3 linked regions of the Drosophila melanogaster genome follow. The protein of the gene in region 2 interacts with the protein of the main gene of each other region in a pairwise test. Each region holds a gene or a part of one and is shown on either strand. Other genes may lie near its edges.

Region 1 (6,830 bases), on a different chromosome or scaffold from region 2:
ACAGCCAAAAAATCATTAAGGCCCAGCTGAATTTGCTCCGCCACTTCATCCGGCTTGGAGGAGGAGTTTTCCCCACCCGCTGTGATCGCCTTAACAGGGCTACTTCTATTAAGAATCAGTGATCTCCTCGGCGTCGCCATCAGCTCTGGCTCCACGGGCCTTATCATCTTCAGTTTGAACTGGACTTCATGGTCCCGGAAGCGAAGGGTCTTGATGCTAAACCAATACTCTCCAAAAGCCAGATCATTCATCTCTGTCCAGATGCAGGTTTCCAGTTGACCAGGATCTGCTTTGTGCTGGTAACTTCCGTAACTCCCATAGGTGATGCCCACCCACATATTGGGCACGAAGCGTTGATAAAACTTTTGTAATTGGCCGGCACTCGAGTGCAGCAGCTTCTCCAACTCTCGCTCACTGCGTTGAAGCACCACCACGTCCCGGTAGCCGGACACCTGCTCCACCAAGCAGCGTTCCATATAATAACCGCGGAAGAGACGAGACTTGTAAAGCTGCTTGGTTAGTGCTTGCATGGCCAGTTCCTCGGGCGGCATATGACGTCCGCTCGCCTGTGGCATCAACGCGCTGTTGTCCATGGCTAGCTGTGTATGAAATCCTTTATTACTGGTCAGCAAATGACCTGCAGCAACCTTACCGATTGATAGTGATTGGACTTTGTTGCAACCACTTTCGCCGCTTAGTCAGCACAGCGCTTTTGTTATTGTTTGACCAAGCAATTTGTGCCAGTCAATTAAGGGTGAAATAGCTGTCAGCTGTTGCTTATTTCTTATTTTTTTTACGACCATGCATAATGCACTTAAATTTTGGCTTAATTAACTTTAAAATTCAGACATTTCAACATAAACCAGGTAGACACAAATTAGGCAAGCAGCTGTTGAGTTCGATAGCCGATAACAATAAGGGTGACCATACCATATACAGTCGATTTGCGAAGTATACAATTTTCAGTGGACTATCGCTAATGTGACGAAAAAAATTATAAAAAACATTTTTGATACTCATTTTTCCCAGTTTTTCCACCCGGCCACGTTGGTTTCCACCCACATCAAGATTTCCTCCCAACAGCGTCTGCTCGAGTGCTTCAGGATGACTTTGGTGGGCCTAGCTGCCCGCAAATTAGCGCAAAAGAAGAGGTTAGTCGCGTTTAAGAAGTACCCCAGCCGGCTTTTTTGTTGTAACCTACGAATTCTGTAACAACAGATCCGCAAAGCAAGCAGCAGACTTTCCCAATGGCATCCGGTGCCAGAAGTGCCTGCAGATCGGACACTGGAGCTATGAGTGCAAGGAGAAGCGCAAATACGTCCACCGGAGCTCGCGTACCAAGCAGCTAAGCAAGCGTATGTCCCAAAAGGAGGCTGACGCACCCAAGAACCAGGTGGAGGAGCACTCGGAAGTGGCTTCCTCGGAAGGAAAGAAGGTCCGTCGAAAGCGGAAAACGAGCAAGAGCTCCTCGTCCTCCTCCAGCTCGTCGGACAGCTCAGACAGCAGCAGCGAATCGGGCTCCTCATCCGAATCAGACTCGAGCAGCTCCAGTTCGGATTCGGACGACGAGGAAGGCAGCTCGTCAGACTCCAGTGGAAGTGGCTCGGACAGCGACAGCAGCGAGGATCAAAAGCAGGGAGCTCCACAAAAAAAGAAAAAACGAGCCGGGAGTTCACCTGAATCTTCTGACGATCAAGAGTAATCAAGAGACCGATTTGTGGTCTGTAGTATGTAGCTTTACTAGTTTAGTTTTCCCACACTTACACCGAAAATGAACATACTTTTGGTACTGTATTGTTTATATTTTAATGCTCCCAACATGTACGTTTTTCTGGTAAAGTTCCAGCCTTAATAACAATTTTAATCCGAGTCGACTTCCTCCTCGAAACGCCTCATTTGGCTTACGAGATCCAGATCTATTTGCTGGCTGTTGACGAGATGGGACTCCATCACAGTTGTGATTGGGGACTGCTCCACCGACAGATCTATGTGGAGGGGATCCCTTCCAGGGGAGCACTGCGTTTTTGGGTTCTGCTGGCCCACCACCTGAGACTTGAGATGCAGCTCCTCTACCTGTGGAACACTGAATTGGGAAAACCGTCATTGAAGCAAGAGATTTGTAGATACCTTTAGTGAATTTAATGCCTCCTGAATGACGGGGAGCACTCGGTCGAGTTTCTTCTGGATAGCAAATAGTTCAGCCTGCTCTTTTTGAAGGACTCGATTTGTTTGCAGCATTTTGAAAACAAATAATAAACTTTAACCTTAGAAAGACCCCTTTTTAATGAAGGCCTTATATGGTATACTTCCAATGGACAAGGAAATAAATGAATTGAATTTAGATTACTTATAAAAACTAAATGATGTTAAAAACATGAAAGTATTTTAAAAGTCACTTGCTTTATGAGGAAATGTAATTAATTATTTAGTAAGTGAAAGCAATGGGTTAAGTATCAGCTATCGATAAGCCAGCTAAAGCAGCACTGTTGCAAAAGCAAAATTTCGATAACAATGGCGGTGAGGCAGGCAGCAATCGAAATCATTCGCGCCTTTCTGAAATTTGCATTTTGTACAGTCTAAACGGGGATTCGCGTAAACTACGCAGAAATATAAACAAACAAAAACTAGTAGACTATAGAATATAAACAGTTTCCTACCAATGGAGACTTGTGAAGTGGAGGGAGAGGCGGAGACGCTGGTGAGACGCTTCTCCGTCAGCTGCGAGCAATTGGAGCTGGAAGCGAGAATTCAGCAAAGCGCTCTGTCCACCTACCATCGCTTGGATGCGGTCAACGGGCTGTCCACCAGCGAGGCAGATGCCCAGGAGTGGCTGTGTTGCGCCGTCTACAGCGAACTGCAGCGCTCGAAGATGCGCGATATTAGGGAGTCCATCAACGAGGCAAACGATTCGGTGGCCAAGAACTGCTGCTGGAACGTGTCACTAACCCGTCTGCTGCGCAGCTTTAAGATGAACGTGTCCCAGTTTCTACGCCGCATGGAGCACTGGAATTGGCTGACCCAAAACGAGAACACTTTCCAGCTGGAGGTTGAGGAACTGCGTTGTCGACTTGGTATTACTTCGACGCTGCTGCGGCATTATAAGCACATCTTTCGGAGCCTGTTCGTTCACCCCGGCAAGGGTGCGGACCCGGGTGCCGCGAATCACTACCAAGCGCTGTATGAGTTCGGTTGGTTGCTCTTCCTGGTCATTCGCAACGAGTTACCCGGTTTTGCGATTACAAACCTGATCAACGGCTGTCAGGTGCTCGTTTGCACAATGGATCTCCTTTTCGTGAACGCCTTAGAGGTGCCCCGATCCGTAGTTATCCGCCGGGAGTTCTCTGGAGTGCCCAAGAATTGGGACACCGAAGACTTCAATCCTATTTTGCTAAATAAATATAGCGTGCTAGAAGCACTGGGAGAACTGATTCCCGAGCTACCAGCGAAGGGAGTGGTGCAAATGAAGAACGCCTTTTTCCACAAAGCCTTAATAATGCTCTATATGGACCATAGTCTAGTTGGAGACGACACCCATATGCGGGAGATCATTAAGGAGGGTATGCTAGATATCAATCTGGAAAACTTAAATCGCAAATACACCAATCAAGTAGCCGACATTAGTGAGATGGACGAGCGTGTGCTGCTCAGCGTCCAGGGGGCGATAGAGACCAAAGGGGACTCTCCTAAAAGCCCACAGCTCGCCTTCCAAACAAGCTCGTCACCTTCGCATAGGAAGCTGTCCACCCATGATCTACCAGCAAGTCTTCCCCTAAGCATTATAAAAGCATTCCCCAAGAAGGAAGACGCAGATAAAATTGTAAATTATTTAGATCAAACTCTGGAAGAAATGAATCGGACCTTTACCATGGCCGTGAAAGATTTTTTGGATGCTGAGTTGTCTGGAAAACGATTCCGCCAGGCCAGAGGCCTTTACTACAAATATTTGCAGAAAATTTTGGGACCGGAGCTGGTTCAAAAACCACAGCTGAAGATTGGTCAGTTAATGAAGCAGCGCAAGCTTACCGCCGCCCTGTTAGCTTGCTGCCTGGAACTGGCACTTCACGTCCACCACAAACTAGTGGAAGGCCTAAGGTTTCCCTTTGTCCTGCACTGCTTTTCACTGGACGCCTACGACTTTCAAAAGATTCTAGAGTTGGTGGTGCGCTACGATCATGGTTTTCTGGGCAGAGAGCTGATCAAGCACCTGGATGTGGTGGAGGAAATGTGCCTGGACTCGTTGATTTTCCGCAAGAGCTCACAGCTGTGGTGGGAGCTAAATCAAAGACTTCCCCGCTACAAGGAAGTCGATGCAGAAACAGAAGACAAGGAGAACTTTTCAACAGGCTCAAGCATCTGCCTTCGAAAGTTCTACGGACTGGCCAACCGGCGGCTGCTCCTTCTGTGTAAGAGTCTTTGCCTCGTGGATTCCTTTCCCCAAATATGGCACCTGGCCGAGCACTCTTTCACCTTAGAGAGTAGCCGTCTGCTCCGCAATCGACACCTGGACCAACTGCTGTTGTGCGCCATACATCTTCATGTTCGGCTCGAGAAGCTTCACCTCACTTTCAGCATGATTATCCAGCACTATCGCCGACAGCCGCACTTTCGGAGAAGCGCTTACCGAGAGGTTAGCTTGGGCAATGGTCAGACCGCTGATATTATCACTTTCTACAACAGTGTGTATGTCCAAAGTATGGGCAACTATGGCCGCCACCTGGAGTGTGCGCAAACACGCAAGTCACTGGAAGAATCACAGAGTAACGTTGGTATTCTGACGGAAACAACTTCCAACGAATTGAGCATGAGAGCCAACATCAGCATATCTTCACCGCCCCCTCCCAGGGTATGCCAAAGTGGCTCCTGCTCCAGTCATCCACCTTCATCTCCCGCCGCATCACCACTTTCCTTGCAAAGCTCGCCCAACGTAAAGCGTGCTGCTTCGAGTAACGACTTGATGAGAGAGATCAAGCGACCAAACATCCTGCGGCGTCGCCAGCTTTCAGTGATCTAATAACCAATCAAAAAAGGCTTAAATACTTGGCTGCATTTTACGCAGCTAGCTTAGTATATTTCTTAAACTCAAAAATGGTAATTAAATAATGTTTAAATTATAGATATTTTATTAACTTGTTCAAGTAAGTTAAAAGCTTTTGCTTTTGTAAAAATAAAGGAATAACTGCCACTCGTAGTTTAAATAAATTTTTATTGAATGCCTATTTTTCGGCTTTGAAACTTGGTTCAAAATATTTGTGCAATTGCTTGTAAACGCGACCGGACACGAAATGAAACTTACACAAAACTGGAGACGCGTCAATGTGTAGTGCATCTCCTTCAGATTACACACAAGAGTTGGGCTTAAAGTGGAGTATACATAATACATACTGAGAGCGTACGACTTAGAGCTATTTACTTTAACGTTTCCTGGCTTATGAGTAAGAGTTAAGAAGAGGGAGCTACGCCGGCGATGGGAGCAGTGTTCGCCGGAGGAATTCCCCCTGGTGGCATTGCCGATCCCGGCGGTGCGTTGGCATCTGACACTGGACCGCTGCTTGGTGGTGTAGTATCTATGGCGGGAGTTGGATGTCTAAGTATTATAGTTTATGAATTGTTATCCGTTAAAGTTCTTACCCATGGGTGTAGGTGCTTGAGATTGCGCTGCTCCCGCTGCGACTGGTCCGGTTTGGTCGCTCGGATTCGTGACAATGGCCGTGGGTGCGCCCGGCGGGAGTCCTCCCGTGAGCGAAATCGGTGGCGCTGCAAAGGGAGCACCGTTGGGCGACGACACTACGTGCGGGGGCAACGGCTGGTGCTGGGCGGTGGGACCCGCTAGCGGTTGGGACTGCGGCGGCAACTGGTGCGGATGCGGAGGCAGCTGTTGCTGCTGCGCCAGGTGCGGATGAGGTGGCAGCGTTTGCTGTTGCTGCTGCGGCTGCTGGGCCTGTGGTAGCTGCTGTTGCTGCGGCAAGATCATTGATCCCGCGGCCGCCTGGCCTTGGAGCTCTTGCTGAAGACGATGATGTGCTTGTTGGCGCGCTCGGAACTCGGCTGCCTTTAGCTGCTCCAGGTGGAATTGCTGACGCTCTGTGATCAGCTGCTGACGCTGGTACTCCAATCCCTCGCGCTCTCGCTCCATGGTGGCCTCCAGTTCCTCAAAGTGGCGCAATTTGATCTCCAGCTTCTTCATCTGAGTCTCAACAAGGAGAGCCACCAGGGATTTGATCTTACGCTCCTCCAGGGCAGCCAGGTGTTTGGCTTTAACTGCTGCCGATGCCAAAGCTGCCGCCGCCGCAGTCTGCATGTTATTTTCGCTAAATGTTCCTTCCTTTGGCACCGCCAATGGCCCTGTTCCGGTTCCCGTTCCCTCTTTGGCCTCAGTGCCGTCCTTAGTTTCGCCATCGCCACTGCTGTCCTCCGTCTTGATGTCCACTTCGCCACCACTTGCGGCTGCTGCGGTTTCTGTGGGTGAGGATTTGTTTGATTTGTCTGACTTGATGGCTGACTTATCGCCCGAAGGCGAGGAGCCGGACGACTCCTTTGGTTTCTTGTCAGTGTTGTTGGTGTTGCCTGTCGCTGATGATGATGTGGAACTCGAGTCTGTGTTTGTGTTGGTCTTATCCGATTTTGTATTGTCTTTGGACTTGGCATCGTCTGTGGTTGTTGTTTGTTATTTGATGGTTGTGGTGTTGATGTAAGTTTGGTAGATTGGGCGCAACACAAAAACGAAACAATATACGAATACAGTGCCAAATGGTGAACAAATTGCGAATTTTGAATGAAAGCAACACAAGAGTTCAACAAGACAAACAAATGCAGAACCAACAATTGAGTAA
Region 2 (7,246 bases):
TACTAGAGCGTAGTAGAAATCCTTGAACGTAATCAGAAACAGAACAAAATAAACTCAAATTAACACGGCTTCAATTCAATACCTAAATATCAAATGACAGACAGGACAGGAGGAGAATGAGAGGTGGATGAGTGATAGGAATACTCTAGGATTCTGTTTGTTTCGTTGCGATTCGATTCGATTGCGTTTGTGTTGCTCGTTTCCGTTCTTTGTACCTTTTAACGACAAACTTATTAACAAGCTTCTCCCACACGTTTATTATATATATGCAGGCGAATGGTGTGTGGCAGTTGTTGCGGTTCAGATAAGATTGTGGTTAAATCGCTCGCGATTAAGGATCAGCAGCAGCGCATCATCTAAGCTACAACTCCTTCCTCACGTAGGCGGACACCGCGTGGCTCCTGATTGTTGCTACTGCTGCTGCTGCTGCAGATGCTGATGCTGATGCTGCTGCTGTCGCATGATGCTGTTGCTGGTGCCGCTGATGCTGCAGTTGCAGTTGCCGTAGCCGTAGCAGCTTCCTGTTTCCTGTTAGACGCTGGCGCTGCCAAAGCTGCTCCAGATTCACTCATAGTTTCCCGTTTCCCGTCACTTCTTCTCTCGCCTCGTCTCGTCTCGTCTCAACTCGCGATTTGTTGCTGGTTGGCGTTGTTGGTGTTTTCCTGTATCTTGGTGGGCGTCCCTTTTGAGTTTAGGCGAAAAGTCATCATTTGCAGCAGAGGCCACATCGACGATGCGATGGATGCTAGAGTCTGGATTGCATACTGACTCGACCGAAATGTGGGATTCCCTAACGATCTGGTACATTCGGTAAGTGAGAGAGCTAACCCTTTGAATTTGCAGCCTAATTAAACGCTTCAATAAAGTTTTACTTGATTATAACTTAACCATCTACATATGTTATTAATTGGTTGAAATGGGGTTTTAAAACATATATGTATCTTGGAATATTGTAAAGAAAGATCTAGTATCTTCGGATGCCCAGAACATCCATCCATTATGTTTCGGTTTCTATTGACTCCCGAGAAACATGGTAGTCGGGGGGTATATTGACAAAGCAGTTGCCGGGAAACCGAAGGCAAAATCACATATACCCAAGTCCTTCTGAATACGATTCAGAAACCCTTTTACACTTTCATCTAAATTATATTGGTTTCTCCTGCAAAGATGATTCAGTACGATACTGTGCAGATCAAGAATGTATCATGGTAAGCTTTAGTTATGCCCGACTTGGCTCAAGATGACTATTGTGTGCTCTCAGGCAGCCGGAACTGCATACGGAGGGCACCTATGTGTGCTCTTTTCCAGAGCCCCCGCTGCCGGAGGCCCATCTGAAACCGGGCACCTGGCATGGCCATCTGGAGCCGTATCAGCGGCTCTTCTATCATCAAACGATGAACTCGGTGCGCTCGAGCAAGCGGTACCGTGCCAATCCGAACATCCCGAAGGATACGCTGGACTTTTCGCTGCAGTCGCGCTACGATCACACCCGCGAAGCATTTCCGGACAAGGTGGACTACGTGATGCAGAGGGAGACGTGCCGCGCCATAAGTAGCTGGTCAGCTCCTGGGGCGGCCAAGGAAATTGGTTCCCAACTCAAATCATTTCGGGTGTTGCGCAACACGCGCTTCATTCGGCGCAAGCAGGAGGACGTATTGGGTCATCCACTTCGCATAGGTAAGATCACAAAATTGGTACAAACCTAAAGTTCTCGACGCATTTTAAGTAACACCCACTTCGAATCTAATCATATTGTTGCAGGCGGTTGTAAAGAAAAGATTCATCCGCACAGCGTAAAGCTCATTTGCAGCGGTGTCCACAACCAGCTGGTGAACAATGGATTCTCGCGCCAGACCTCCGACGGCAACTTCTTCCGCTATTAGTTCCACAAATCTGTGTTTGCTTTCCCAGAAAGAATACCATTTTGCGTTTTGGGTTTTACAAACATTATTGGAAATAAATTTGGGACACAGAAGCAGTCGTCACGCAGTCGCCTCCAGCTTGGGCTGCTTGGGCAGGTGCTCCACATCTCCATCATACTCATCCACTGCTTGTGGAGTGTCCTGTTGGTCATCCTCCGCCTGTTGCTCCGACGCTTTGTGACGCTGTTTCTTGTTCTGGTTACGATAGCTCTTGGGTAGTTTGTTGTCACCAATCCTGAAATTGGATGGGAATTTAGTATGCGAAAGTGGGTGGCTCGATTACTTAGCTTACATAATAGTGGCTCTGGTTCCAGGTCCCCAATGTGGAGTCGGATTCTCTTGGAAGCGCGATAATGCCGATTTGCGACTCTTCGGGTTCGCCTCCGGATGGAGTTCATCGAACTCGTAGACAGCAGTGCATTCTTTCGAAAGTATGGCCGCCAGTGGAGATCCAGGAATCATCCTTTCGGGATTTACCGGATGTCGCTTGCTCCAGCTGCGCAGAATGTCCCATAGCACCGCTGGTGGAGCATTGGTTTTCAACGAATTCTTCGAGGCATGCGAGTATGAGACTCGATAGCCAGCGTGGAGAATAGCAGACCGGAACTTTAGCATGGGCACGATTTCTAGCTTGAGCACACAGCACAGTTTGTCCGGCGTGTAGTAAAGGGGAACATCCTGCAGCTCCTCTTGGACCATGGAAAGAACTCCAACGATTCGTCTCTGGGTTCCCAGCGATTGCAAGGTGGTCTCCTGGACCGCCGTTAAAAGATCCTGCACAAATTCGGGGTTATGAATCGGTGCCGACCAGATGGGTCCACCCAGATGATGCCTGTGACCGCAATGTTCGCACTGCGAGTTGACCGCCGGACCAGTGGGAATTCCGAACTTCAGCTGCTGGGGATTACCAGCCGTGGGATTTGGCTTGGTTATGCCCAAGGGCTGCAGCGTGAAGGTCTCACATCCGGTGCATTGGTATATCCAAGACTGCTTGCTCATCGACAGCTTGCATTGGGCCTGGCCGACGTACACACGCACAAATATCCGGATGTAAAAGTCCGCTGATATGCTCAGTAGTGGTTCGATGTACTTGCCGTACCTGTTCGCGTGGCTCTCGATGCAGTGCAGCAAAATGCGCAATGCCATCTCGTGACAGCACTTCATCCGCAGCGGAACCGATCCGTATTTTACATAGCAAGCTTCCGGAGCATTTCCGGCCAGCACGGCCATGTCGGTGGCTGTCACCAGCAGCAGGCCGCCGTCCACCAGGCACTGCATAGCGCCATCCAAAAAGCGATTGGGACATCCGTACGGATCCAAGTCAACTGCATCAAAACGCTTCTCGGGTTGCGTCGAAAGATACATGAGGGTCCTGTACGATGTATTGGAATGCCCCATTTTATACCGTGTGCCAATAGCTTAATTATAAACCTACATTGCATCGGAGTGACTGGGCTCGATCAGCTCCTCCACCTTGTTGTGCCGGATGTTTGTGTTGATCGAGGCCACTGCCTGGCGGGAAAGATCGTTGGCCACGATCTGGCGTACACCGGCGATTTCCTGCGCGTAACGGATGCTACGCAAACCGGTGGCTGCCAGTGCCTCCAGGATCCGAAGTCCATCCTCATATCGAGTACCGGCCTCATAAACAGGTGGATCCTCGGGAACGGGAGTGGTCTTCTCATCCTCCTGTTCCTTGACCTTCTTCCGCTGCTTTTTGAGCGCCTTTTCGCTCCGCTCCTTGGTCAATCTCTGTCGATAAACATTCAGAGCAGCAATGCTCAGATCTCGATTGAATTCCTGGACAGGATTGTAGAACACATTGCCGCCGGAAACGATCTCCGCATTACGTTCGCGTATCACGTTTTCGTTGGGATTTTCAGCAATAATCTGCAATCGTAATGCTTAGCTTAATGTGGTTTATTTATAATGTGTTTTTCTTTAAGAACCTGCGGCTTTTCCTCGTCCACTTCCATTTGGATGAGTTAAAAGAATACACGTGGGGCAGTGTTGAAAAACGTAAGCTACTAGCTATTAAGCTTTAAAACTAAAAATATACACAAATTTGTTGTTTTTTATATGAAATACGAAATAAACATTACAGAATTATATTTAAGTTTAATTTAGTTTCAAAATTTACAATTTGGGTATATTCTCTGTAATAATACATCCCATAAAATGATGTTGAATAAAAATGGTTCTTAATATTTATTTGAATTATTTAAAGATTAAAATAAATTAAAATAATAAATTGACATTAAATATGACTGGAAAATAAAACTTGAAGCTAGCTACTTTGCCACCACCAGGATTATCGAAAGGACTATCGAACCAAAGTCCGCCCCTATGCTTGATAAAGAAATTAATTTGCAGAAGTGAAACAGCCGCAGCCGCAAACAGAAGCAAAAGAGCTAGAAGTGATAGCATTTTTGTACTTTTATACAGTGCCACAAAGAAGCCACAGAATGACCGATCTGCGCAACGAGATGGACAGCGATCTGGACCAGAACTACTCCCTGAACAGCAATGCGGACCCCAAAAACATGCAGGAGCTGACCATATACGTGAGTAATGCCCGAACCGGGAACCACCCAGTAAATAGAGACACCAAATGAGCACCCAGTAAACCTGCCTCCTGTTATCAGGTACAAAATCTGTTGCAGAACGTTCAGGACAAGTTCCAGACGATGTCGGACCAGATAATAACGCGCATCGATGACATGGGCAACCGCATCGACGATCTGGAGAAGAGCATTGCGGATCTGATGAACCAGGCCGGGATCGAGGGTCAGGGACCGGAGAAATGAGATCCGTAGCGCTGGCACGGCCACGCCCATTCGGAAAGTGCATCCCAATACCATTAGATACATACATCGAACACCTGGCACCCAGTCACCCGTATCAAGTTTACAATTCCAGGTTCTCACATTCATTTAATCTCCTCCGCACCCAGCTGCTCCCCAAGAAATGAAGAAAAGAACACATTTGCTCATCCATTTATTGCTTAGTTTTAAGTTTCGCCCGGTCGGGGCACATCATAATTTAAGTAAAGTAATTCTTTTGTGAGCAATGGCCAATAATTTTGAATTATTGCCGTTTAGTTTCTATTTATAAATTAAAAATTCAAGAATTGTAAATTCCCTGCTATTTGGGTGTTCAGGACTTCGATTTAACAACGGTTACCAGGCGACCAGTTCCCGATTTGTGTTTCCTCACCTGAAAGTTTATTGCGAAAAGGGGAAGAGAAGCGCGTCATTTCCGCTTGATTAGTTATGATATGCATATATTTAGTATTGTTTATCTGGGACAAATAATGCAAATCGTGACCCGTGTCCATTAATAAAAAGTGTATGGAAATCAGCGCTGAATGGCAAGGAGTGCTATATAACAATCCCTACTTTTAAAAGGAAAATCAACATTGATTTGTGGACCAGAATGATTTTCGAATATTAATTGCAATTTGTGTTGCTTCTACATATCATGTTTTTTAAGGCAATGAGATAGAGAGTGGTAATACATTCTGATTAAATTATGAAAGGAAGCTCTGAGACTGCGGGGTTACAAAAACCAATTAAGATAAACCCTTAGAAGTATGTTCCTAATTCAATTTTATTTAAGCTCTTGCTACGATTCCAGAATGTGCCTGCAATACTGATGTGAGCTCTAGGAACTCTACTACTGGTCATAATTTGAGTGCTAGTGCTGGGGCACGTGGAACTGCTTCTGCAGCCTTACATGGGTGGAGGCCACCGCCTTGAATGGATGTTTGACCGTTTGTCTGCTGGGCTTCGAAGGAGCAGAAGTGGCACTGGCACTGGTCGATGGCGTGGCTATATCCTTGCTGGCAGATCGGATCTTGGCCCCAAAAACATTCTCCCGCGGAGGAACCTGGTTGCCCGGCTGCGTGGGTTCCCTCTCGTCATCCGTTGCCGTTCCAGATTCCTCGTCCTCTTCGCCACTTTGCTCGGTTTCCTTGGGAGGAATGGAGTTATTCTATCATTCCATAATCATGCCAAATCATACCTCATCTTCATCATCTTCCTCTTCATCCTGCTCGTCGGTTTCATCTTCGGGTTCTGTTTTACTTCCATGATTGATTCCGGCTCCCGTCAGATTCCTATTGCTCCTGGACAACTTCGGGCGCCTCTTGAGCGGACTGACCAGGTGCTCGTGCTCCAAGCTATCCATCGACTGGGAGCGCAGTCCCTTTTTGAGTGCAGTTTTCCTGGAAGCCAGCTCTTCTTTGGTCTTCATGAGTTTCTGAAACTCAATGAAATCGTCGCGCTCATCAATGGTTCCAATATCATAGTAGCTTGCGCTGAGTATCTCCAATGCCTTGGTGTGCTGTTTCATGGCGATCAGTATAAAATCGCTGATTATCTGCTTTAAGTCGCGCAACTTCCGCTGCTCGAAGTTGCCAATAATGTCGTCTATCTCCTTGTTTGTGCGCTGCACCTCCATTTTGGCCTTAAACAGCTCCGAATCGGCGGCACTCTACGGTAAGTTTTGGGAATTATATAAGAAGTAAATTGTTCGTTTTAATACCCACATTGTTCGCAGAAAACTTTGACTTGAGCTCAAGCATCTGGCGCTGACGTAGTACCTCCTTATCCCGCGCTATGACAGCCAGTCGAAGATTGTCCCTTGTGGACTTGCAAAGCTGCTCGAATTGCGCCAACTCGTTGACAATCTACATAAGTCAATAATATGATATAAGATGCAGATTTAAAAAAGGATAATTCACCTTGTGTTCCAATCGGTGTACATTGATGTCCATGTAATCACCCATTATGGTAACCGCGTTGGTGAAGCTCTTCAGTCCCTGACAGAGACTCTCGTTGATTTCCTCGTCGTCGGCGTAGCTCTTCACACTCTTGGCCAACTCATCAAAGGAGTCCCGATATCTGCAAGGTCTTATGATTATTCATTCAGATTTATTTATTTACCAAACTCACTTGGCCATTTTCCGCGTTACCAAAGCAAACGAAGAGCACATCTCCATTAGATGCCTTTCTGTTATGTTTATGCGCTCGTTTATTATTTTAACACGGTCATCTTTGGTGTTTAGAAAGGATAGTTTTCCACGACGAAACATTATTATTTTATTTTAGTCCCTTATATTTGTTTTCCTTCTTTATTTATTTTATTTCGACAATAAAATCAAGTGAAAACCGTTACCAAGGCAACGTCTAAATTCATCTGGCAACTCTCGTTCGAACAGCCAGCATATTTCCAGCTCTGTAAAATTAACAGAAATGTTAAGAACCTACTGCTGCCAGGTGGCGCTAGTATCAGCGTCTTCTGCAAGTACATAGATGGCGCAA
Region 3 (8,794 bases), on a different chromosome or scaffold from region 2:
TCCTTTCGATGGCCATAAAAGGTCAGCAAATGTACAGGTAAGTCTAGACGCAACCATCCATCGATCAATCCGGCGTCAATCCGTCGAATCTTTATCGTTTTTCTGCTCAAGATTGAACTACCCGTTGAAAATGCGCCAGTGGCATCACATGTGCAGCTCGTGGAATGGCAAGACGGGCGAGTGGCAGGCCTGGCTGAAGGCAGAACGCATTGGGCGTGGTTTCCACAACTCGGTGAGTTTGACTCCATTTGACTCCAATTACGCATATTGCAAAATGCCTTGTTCGCGTTTTCACTTTCGGCGTGCGAATGTCAGCTGCTATAATCTCAAATCTCCGTCTCCACTTAATTCTTAATTGCTTCAGTTGGTGGGACATAAAATCCCAGCGAATGGCAAGCTGCGCTCCGGCGGCAGTTCGGTCACCGGCGAGGTGAGCCACGGCCTCCACTTCGAGATGACGCTCGTCCAGGTCTATCGGGTGGCGCTCAGTGCAGGCAAGGCGCATCGCGACCACAAGCACCACCATGTCCACCACTTTGATCACGAGGGCCAGGAGGTCTCCAGCACCACTCGTGCCCCACCCTCGGTAAGTTCGTAACCAGTGCCCACGGAGACAATATAACACGCCAGACCTCCATTCAGATTAATCGTCCTCAACCCATGCACACGCTGCTCGCCAGTGGCCAGATCCCGACCCGGGTGCGCATCAACTTGGCCAATCCGCCGCCGACTGCAAGTGGTGCTCCCGCTCCTGGCGCGGCCGGAGCTCCGACCGATTCCGCCCAGCAGGCCATCACCATCAACACAAATTTTGTGAACGGACAGATAAACGCGGGATCGCGACTGGTGGCCCAGCAACTCCTTGGCCTCTCGCCGCCGAGCGGATTGCAGCCTAGTGGCGGTGGCAAACGCTTCCAAATGCTAAGTAACTCAGCCAACGTGCAGTTCATCGACGAAACGGAGACCCACATCCAGTTCAAGAGGAACACCGACGCCACTAAGAAGGTTCAGAAGCGCGGCCTGGTGCTGCTGGACGATGGATCTGTGGTGGACGACGGTGTCGGTTCCGGAACGGATGGGAGCTTGATTTACAACGGTCTCGCCGACTTTGGCGGACAGCAATTTAAGCAGGATCTTACGCTCAAGATGAGCCTGGAGGAGGAGATCAGCACGCACGACCGAGAGCCCGCCGAGGAGGAGGTAAGGGCCGTGATGGCCATCTGTAGCAGCTGCCACACGGAGCCTTTCCAGGGTGCCATCGTGTTTTCGTGGAAGGATGTGCGCGAGCACATGAACAACGCCCTCAAGGGCCTCAGTGTGGGTCCATGTGGTAACTTCTAGTTGTTCCCAAAGTTCGGATAACATTCTAGTGTCCTAGGACCCCAGCTTAAGCTTTCCCAGCCCCACCCCATTATTTCCATATCTTTTTTTTTTCTATATATGTACGAATAAGTATTCGATTGGTTGGGCATCTTGTGCCACAATTGTCCATGTGGGAGTCAACGCTTTACTGTTGCCACCCATTTGGCCACCAAACAATCCTTGACTCGCTCATGGACACCAATCCATCCTGCTTCCCTAAGCCCTACATCCTCACCCTAGCAATTACGCGGTGATATTGAATAAAGGACTATTTAACTGATACCATCTAGCAGCACTTACCTTTGATTTGTGGATATGCTGGTGCTTGTAGTCCGAGTCGAACTCCGGCTCGCTGAAGTAGCTCTGATCCTGATCCCAATTGGCCTGCGCCTGCGGCAGGGGTTGGGGTATTCCAGGGCCGCCGGGCAGAATCTGGGGCGGGGCTGCCACCTCAGTGGACTCAAAGAGACGCAGCACGGAGCGATCCCTGATCTCGCGCAGATGCGAGCGCACGTCCTCCAGCTCGTAGAACATATCCTTGCTGGCATCGTGAATGTAAATCTTCACATTGGGCCCCTCCAGATATGACATGGTCAACTGGCGCGGAAACGAGCGTACGAACAGGGCGCGCACCGTATCAATCGAAGTGATCTCGTTGGGCAGCAGGGCGCGCTTCGTCTCCGAGCGGTACTGCAGAAAGACCAGGCCCAGCGGTCGTTCCAGAGTTTTCGAGGGCGTGCGTACCACGGGGAGCGAGGAGCGCTGCTTGCCGCCCCTCCGGAATCCGGTGCTGGCCGTTTCCACCTCCGACATGATGCCGGGATCGTCGTCGAACAGCGGTCCCTGGTTAACAGGCGCATAACCGCGCATCGGCTGGTTCTTTTTGTTCTTCTGCGCGCGCGTACTCATCTAAGAAGGGACAAGAATCAGAAACTGATGGTAGAAACGAGTTGAGATGGGAGATGGAGCTCACCTCCAGATCCATGGCCCGCTGTTGCTGGGGCGCCATCTGATGGGCGTGTGGATGCTGCGAGCCGTAGACCAGCATATCGCCGCCGAGCGTATGTCGTCGTGGATCGTCGCGTCGCATGGCTCGTCGTCTTTCGTCGCCACCTGGGGAAACACATAGACACTGAGGATGGGGCTACAGATCCGTGGACGTCTTTGGTCCTTAACATACCCTGTTCATTCGACGGAAGCCGTCCCGACTTTGCCTCATTCTGCCAGTCTTCTTCTGAAAGAGAGGGAGCTGGAGTTAGGCTCATTTCATTTCGCTTCCTTCCGATTTATGGATTCCGATTACTTACCGCCCTCTCTACCCTTGCGCTTCTTCTTCGACGAGGAGCTGCTGCTGCCGCCGACGCTCTGGTTGGAGGAGGCGCTCTTGTCCTTACTCTTCCAACGGATCAACATCCTGCAGCCGTTTGAGATGTGCGGAGCTCAGTGGCTATGTTGCAGCTGCAGAAAATGAGAGACAACGGGGCGTATGGGTAACGTGAAAATGTCCTTATTTTTTTGGTCTTTGTTTACGTTTGGTACCGGCAACAACACGCTAAACCGCACACACACAACATGCAACTTTGGTGTAGATAAACCATGTATCCTCGCACATTCTTTAACAGGGTGTGGTGGAATGGAGTGGAGCCTCGCAGTGGCAGTGCCAGTGCTCAATGCAAAAAGTATGCAACGGAGTGCGCAAACTCTGCTCTGCAACACGGAATGGAGCAAGAAAGCAGGACAGAGCGGAAGGCGTGACTGGAGCTGGATCTGGAACTGCATGCGGATCTGGATCGGGACCCCAGAAATGCGGCTGGCAGAACAGACAATAGTGTTGGCCGAATACAATTGTTCATCGCAGTTGCCATTAAGATGCCATTTGCTGAGAGAACACGAATCACTTTCGAATTTGTTTTGCATATGTAAACGTTTTTGGAGTTGGAAGTTGCTTTAAACAAGGCATGTCAAGTTATTTTGGCTGCATGTACATGTTTATCTCGAGCAAGAAATCCGAGGAAGGGGCACCAAAAGGAAACGGACGCAGAGATGGGTACACACGAAACATGGTATACTTTTCAGTGCAGCACTTCACGGGTTTTAGTATGCCTTTGCCTTTGCCAGTGCCAGTGCCTGGGAATATGTACACAGCCACCCACATTCACTGCCCATCGGCATTATTGCGGGCCACTAAAGGAATTTTTGATTAGTTTTAGGTGCGGTGCCCCGGCCCGTTTTTTCCCAGCCGCCATTAATTGTGTCAGTTGCGTCCAGTTTCCAGGGCACGAGTGCACATTAAACACGGTGGAGGGGAGCTCGTGTCTGTTGACTTTTCCACACACGTCAGCGGTCAGTTGGCTGGATTCCTTTGGGTTTTCATGGGGGATCTCGTCCTAGCTGTACCTTGTATACCTATGCACCTTTGGGGGTGTGTGGGCGGTTCACCGGCGATGTTTCTGGCATTTTCTCAAACCGCACTTGCCTTGCCGATTCAGGAAGGTTTCACAATTAACGGGTCTAGGTGCTCATAGCTCGAGGAGCTCACCGATTTAGCCGTGTCCTTAGGATAAAGATTCGATTCAATTCGCTTCGCTTTGCACTCGTCACTACACAGCTTTCTGGAGTCAGGACACGGCACTCGTCCACCGACGCAGCATAACGCCAGAAGAGCAGAAATATTTCTGGTATATCTACACCGGAAAGCGTTTCCGCCCTAGCCGAACGAGGACTGCGTGCTTGCACGGCGCATGCGTTACCAATCGAGTGTTCCCGGACCAGCGAAGTTCCCTGGCATCCAGCCGTCAGAGGTCCTGGCATCCCTGCATTCCGACGCTGCTCTGTTGTGTGTGTTTACCTGGTGCCGGGGCAATCGAGTAATTTTCTTGGCGGTTGAGCGCATGTGGCTATCGAATGGCTCCAATCGATTACTGGGCGGAAGGCCTTTAAAAACAGGTGACGAAACACATGCTTGTCCTGCGCCGGCTTGTTTATCCGGGAGTAGCCAGGATTCCAGCGGATGTCTGGGCCCGCAGCCACGCCCTGGTGGAGTTTCCCGGCCAGTGGCCTCGCTGTGAGCAGCACCAGTTTGAATCGGACATGCGGGTCATCAGGGACTTCATCACTGCGAAGGAGGAGCAACTACTGATGCGGGAAATCGAGCCTCACATCAGCCGCTTGCCGTACGAGTTGAGCCACTGTGATGACGTGGGTGGGTATATATAGAGACTATATAGTATCGGATTTCTGGCTAAACTTCTTAAACTTCGCAGGCAGATACCGCGAAGTTGAACGCCGAAAGTGGACTCCCCAAAACCAGGCCACGCTGGATCACGTCTCGTGAGTTTCCTTCGGTGAGCAGGTCATGCCCTTCGTGCACATCCTGGACTTGGCTGACTCTGGCGCGATCAAGCCGCACGTGGACAACACTCGAGTGAGTTTGGCCACAGAAGATGCAACTCGATTTCATTTTCATTTACGATTGTATTCGACAGTTTTGCGGCAACACCACTGCGGGCATTAGCATGCTCAGCGACTGAAGCGCGTGACCAAGGATCCCATGACTTTGTCAGCCACTCTGAGGATCTGCTCCTGCCGCAACTCTCGCTCTATATTAAGAGTGCCCTAGCGCGATACGAGTTCACCCACGAAATCCTGGCCAGAGATCAGTCGTGGTTCAAGGAGCGCTTGGTCGAAACGAACCTTGATGGCATACGCATAGTTTCCTTTTCTCACAGCTGGTGTACATGTATATATATATATATATACAATGAAAATTTATTCCGGTTTGGTGATCAGCTAATGTAATACAGACGGCGGACTGCGACGGATTACACGACGTGATTCAGCCATGTAATATATGATACACTAAATCAAATGTACATATACATAGTATATCTTAAGCTAGCTACTTGTACTTTATAAATATTGGGCTCACCTTTCTCACTCGCTTCAAATTTTCTACTCCCTCTTATAATCTTTTGAAATTTGTGTTTTTTGCTCAACAATGTATATGGGTTGATGCTTTTCTACTTTCATTTGTACGTTGTCGTCTCGTTTCATTTAAAGCTTAAAATATGAGAATGACAGAGACAGGGAGATTAATGGGCAACTGAGTGAGATGGAGAGAAGGTGCTTGGGAAAGGGGAAGGATACAAAAATCGACCGGACAAGGACTAGTCCTGGATTCAAGGATAACTGGGAAATAGTGATGTGTTGTCGCTAAACCTACGTTCATATTTGCACTTCTAGCCACTGCTAGTTAAAGTCTATGCCGTGCTTCCGGCTCGGGGAATGATATTATGGCGATGGGGACTCGGTTCTGGCGGGTCATCGGTCATCAGTCATCCAGCTCATCCCAGTTTTCGGCGCCGCGGCAGCTGCAGCGGCAAGGCAACAACGGAAGCAGACGAGGTCGGATTTGCTGCCATCACCGGAAGGGCAAGAGCCACTGGAGCTGCGAGTCCGCCGCCGACGTACTGCAGATGCTGCACCACCGAGAGCTGTGGCTGCTGCTGCTTGAGCAGCTTGGCGGCAGCGTGTGCCTCCGCCGCAGCCACCACGACGGGGTGCACCGGTTCGGTGCCGACTCCTCCGTTGACATGTGGACCGGTGCTTTCGCAATCGTCTTCGTCTGAGATCAGTGATATGCTGAGGTCGCTGGACAGTTTTAGGGAGATGGGCGTGGGCGGCGAGGGAGCCACCAAGGGCGCCACTTTGGCGCGCAATGCCGGTGACAGTTTCTGCAGCTGCTCCGGCATCAGGTCGTTCGTGTATTCCGGCACTCCACTAAAAGCCAGGCCTTCGCGTAGTTTGCTCAGCGAGAGTTCGTAAATACGGTTTGCGATGACCGTGTGAACGGTCGTCTCGTCCGGCAGCGTGGCTGTGATGCCTCCGCCCACGTCCACCTCCAGAAAACAGCCCGTTTCATTGCCGCCCTCTCCGCCTTCGGCGGTGGCGAATCCATTGCTGGCCGCCGTCGACGCTCGACACGGCTTGGGGTGACCTGACACCCGCGTCAGGCAGTTGGCAGTGGTGGAGGTGCGCGGCACCAACGAAACAGTTACCTCTTCGATGGTCTCCGACTGTGTGAGCGGTGCGAGCGGTGGCGGTGAGCGCATGGAGAGCTGGGAGCGCACTCTTGCCGTGCTGCTGGGTTCCTGCTCGTTGTGCTCGTCATCGCTGGTTATCAGGATGCTGTCGGTCACTGGGTATGAGTGGGTGGCAGCTCTGCGCGGCGCCTGCCTTCTGCCCGTTCTATGTGCTCGGTGCCCTGGGGCAGGAATCAGGAGGCGATTGTGGCCAGCTGCAGCGGGCTGTCCGGCCGATGGGGTCTCATCGTCATCCGACAGCAGGTCGATGGTCACGTCCGGCTGCAAAGTGGAGGCGACATGGCGCCGCTGCAGATGGGACAGCTGCCGGTCAGTCTTGGAGGCGAGAGCCACTTGGTCGCGCATCCGGGCCATGCAGATCCGCTGGTGCTCAAGCAGGCGTTCCATCCACCGACAGCGGCGCCGCTTGAGACGACGGTTGTCGAACAGCCGGGGCGATATGTAGAATGGTTCGGAATGTTTCTGGTTCATGTCTATAGGCGGCAGGAGAAGAGTTAGTCTGTGACGCCTGGTCGGCCACTGGTGGGCACCTATTTACCGAGTGTGTGGACTCGTCTTCTAGCGGTGGCGGTGCCTGCCACGGGTTGTCAAGGGTCATGGGCTCGGGCCCGTGGGGCTCCTCCTCCTCCTCCTCTTGCTGTTCCACTGGCGGCGAGTACAGTTAGATCCACTGCTGCAACTTGCATAATTGCGTGGCGGCGCAGGGGGATTTCCTTGAGAGGAGCGGAGGCGCGGGACTAGGCGCTGCGCCTCCCGCCGCTGGACATGCCGAGATGCGAGCGGGGCCGAGATGGTTGTTTTTTCGCGCGGCAGCTGCTTAATTTGTGCTTTTGTTGTACTTTAGAGTTCTGTTTATAAAACTGCATCGATAAGCGACCACACATCGATAACGCTTCTCTCGATAGTCCACGCTGCGTGCAACCGTGCACGTCGACTGGCCAAACAGTATCTGTCGGTAGTTATCGATAATGCATTCGCCACTTGGGCGCGCTATTTAAAATCAGCTAGAGAAAATAATGAAGCTTCGAAGCAAAGGACAGAAGGATACAAGTGCTTTGGATCACCAGCAAATCCAGCGACTTGGACACCAGGTAGCCCCGATAAAATTCCTATTAAGTAAAACACTCTTATCTCAAGACAAAGCACTCAAGCTAATTTTGGCACCACCCACAATTTTGAGAAGCACTCAATCGGCGCCGGCGCTCTGTTTTCAGAAGCTTTCACTCACATCTGGGAGAGCTTTCACTCCACATCCGTACGAGGACCGGAACGATAGGGAAGACACCGACTCCAGCTGGAGTCAGTTGGCAGATCGTCGCCTCCGGATGCGGATGTAGATATAGCAACCGCCCTTGGGCTTTTCATGCCTTCGATTAATTTTCGCAGACTTAGGATGCCTGGAAATTAACCACAAAAATCGTGAAGCCCCAAAACTTCCGTTCAAATTACTACAGGGTTGAAAGGAACATAAGGCCTTACAAGCGGAGTCTTGCGATCAGAAGTGGAGCACTAGTTTTGGGTGGGATATTTCAAAATGAAAATAACTGTTAGAAGGCATTTAGTACAAAAATAAGAAATTTTTTTGTTAATAAGTAGCCTTATGTATGCCCTTTCACCCATTTCTCTAGAGACAAGCGAAAAGCTAGCAATCTGATAAATAAAAGTAATCAACGTTCAGGCGTAGGGGCCTAGAGTAGTACCATTGGAAACATATTACTGATACTCGATACTCCACTCCACAACTTGATCTACAGTCTTGATCTCATATTTCCAAATATTCATATATCTGGGTATACATATAGCTTAAGATCAAAGTTATGTTGACTAGCTGTATGAACAAATCGGCGGATCGGATTGTACATTGTTGGGCACTCATTTACATCTGGCTTTAAGCTTTAAGGGTGTGCAACAGCCATGAGTCAAGTACGGTCCGCTGGGGAGCGGGGCGGGCAAGATCCGATTTCAGTAATTCACGCGAATGGCTCATTTCCCCAGCTCGCGGAGCAGCCAGGAGCCAAGGAGCAAAGGCGTTGGAGCTGGAGACGGAGATGTGTCTGCCCTTGGCGAAGGATACCAGTTTACTGGGGGATAAAGGGAGAAGGGCGGCGAGAGACAATAGACAATAGACAGGAACCACAACAAAAATTATAGACTCGGTCTTGACTTGGCTCGACTCGACTGTAGCCGGTGCTTTGCGTTTGGCTGGCAGCACAGGACCTCCGTAGTCCTGGCTGCGCCAGCTGCAGCTCCTTTGACTGTTTGTGTTGTGTTTCTGGATTGCACTTTGGCCGTTTAAGGCCGCGGAGTGCGGAGCAGGAGCAGGAGCAGGA

What was found.
Region 1: the proteins of CG5446 (region 2) and CG32856 interact in a two-hybrid assay, tested with the Drosophila melanogaster proteins (one large-scale study listed by BioGRID).
Region 3: the proteins of CG5446 (region 2) and CG32809 interact in a two-hybrid assay, tested with the Drosophila melanogaster proteins (one large-scale study listed by BioGRID).

What each region holds. Positions count from the first base shown.
Region 1 is NT_033777.3:15,962,947-15,969,776, forward strand, and holds CG32856 (uncharacterized protein), read right to left. Parts: upstream 2,406-6,830; 5' UTR 2,239-2,405; coding exon 2,128-2,238; intron 2,074-2,127; coding exon 1,861-2,073; 3' UTR 1,732-1,860; downstream 1-1,731. Other genes in the region: CG4287 (uncharacterized protein), read right to left, coding at 1-593; CG5516 (uncharacterized protein), read left to right, coding at 1,105-1,151, 1,219-1,702; Rbf2 (Retinoblastoma-family protein 2), read left to right, coding at 2,660-5,011; mor (moira), read right to left, coding at 5,440-5,564, 5,629-6,648.
Region 2 is NT_033779.5:12,424,709-12,431,954, reverse strand, and holds CG5446 (uncharacterized protein), read left to right. Parts: upstream 1-4,245; 5' UTR 4,246-4,387; coding exon 4,388-4,486; intron 4,487-4,567; coding exon 4,568-4,729; 3' UTR 4,730-5,324; downstream 5,325-7,246. Other genes in the region: CG5435 (uncharacterized protein), read left to right, coding at 1,168-1,208, 1,262-1,677, 1,762-1,883; Trm1 (tRNA methyltransferase 1), read right to left, coding at 1,983-2,157, 2,215-3,294, 3,358-3,812, 3,872-3,898; Fam92, read right to left, coding at 5,619-5,894, 5,946-6,416, 6,472-6,612, 6,667-6,826, 6,878-7,017.
Region 3 is NC_004354.4:1,688,538-1,697,331, forward strand, and holds the start of CG32809 (uncharacterized protein), read right to left. Parts: upstream 4,232-8,794; 5' UTR 3,902-4,231; exon of another isoform or gene 3,760-3,901; intron 2,821-3,759; 5' UTR 2,776-2,820; coding exon 2,670-2,775; intron 2,597-2,669; coding exon of another isoform or gene 2,594-2,596; coding exon 2,543-2,593; intron 2,476-2,542; coding exon 2,336-2,475; intron 2,272-2,335; coding exon 1,663-2,271; intron 1,651-1,662; exon of another isoform or gene 1,342-1,650; coding exon of another isoform or gene 643-1,341; intron 587-642; coding exon of another isoform or gene 365-586; intron 233-364; coding exon of another isoform or gene 112-232; intron 38-111; coding exon of another isoform or gene 1-37. Other genes in the region: b6, read left to right, coding at 1-37, 112-232, 365-586, 643-1,341; a6, read right to left, coding at 5,706-6,935.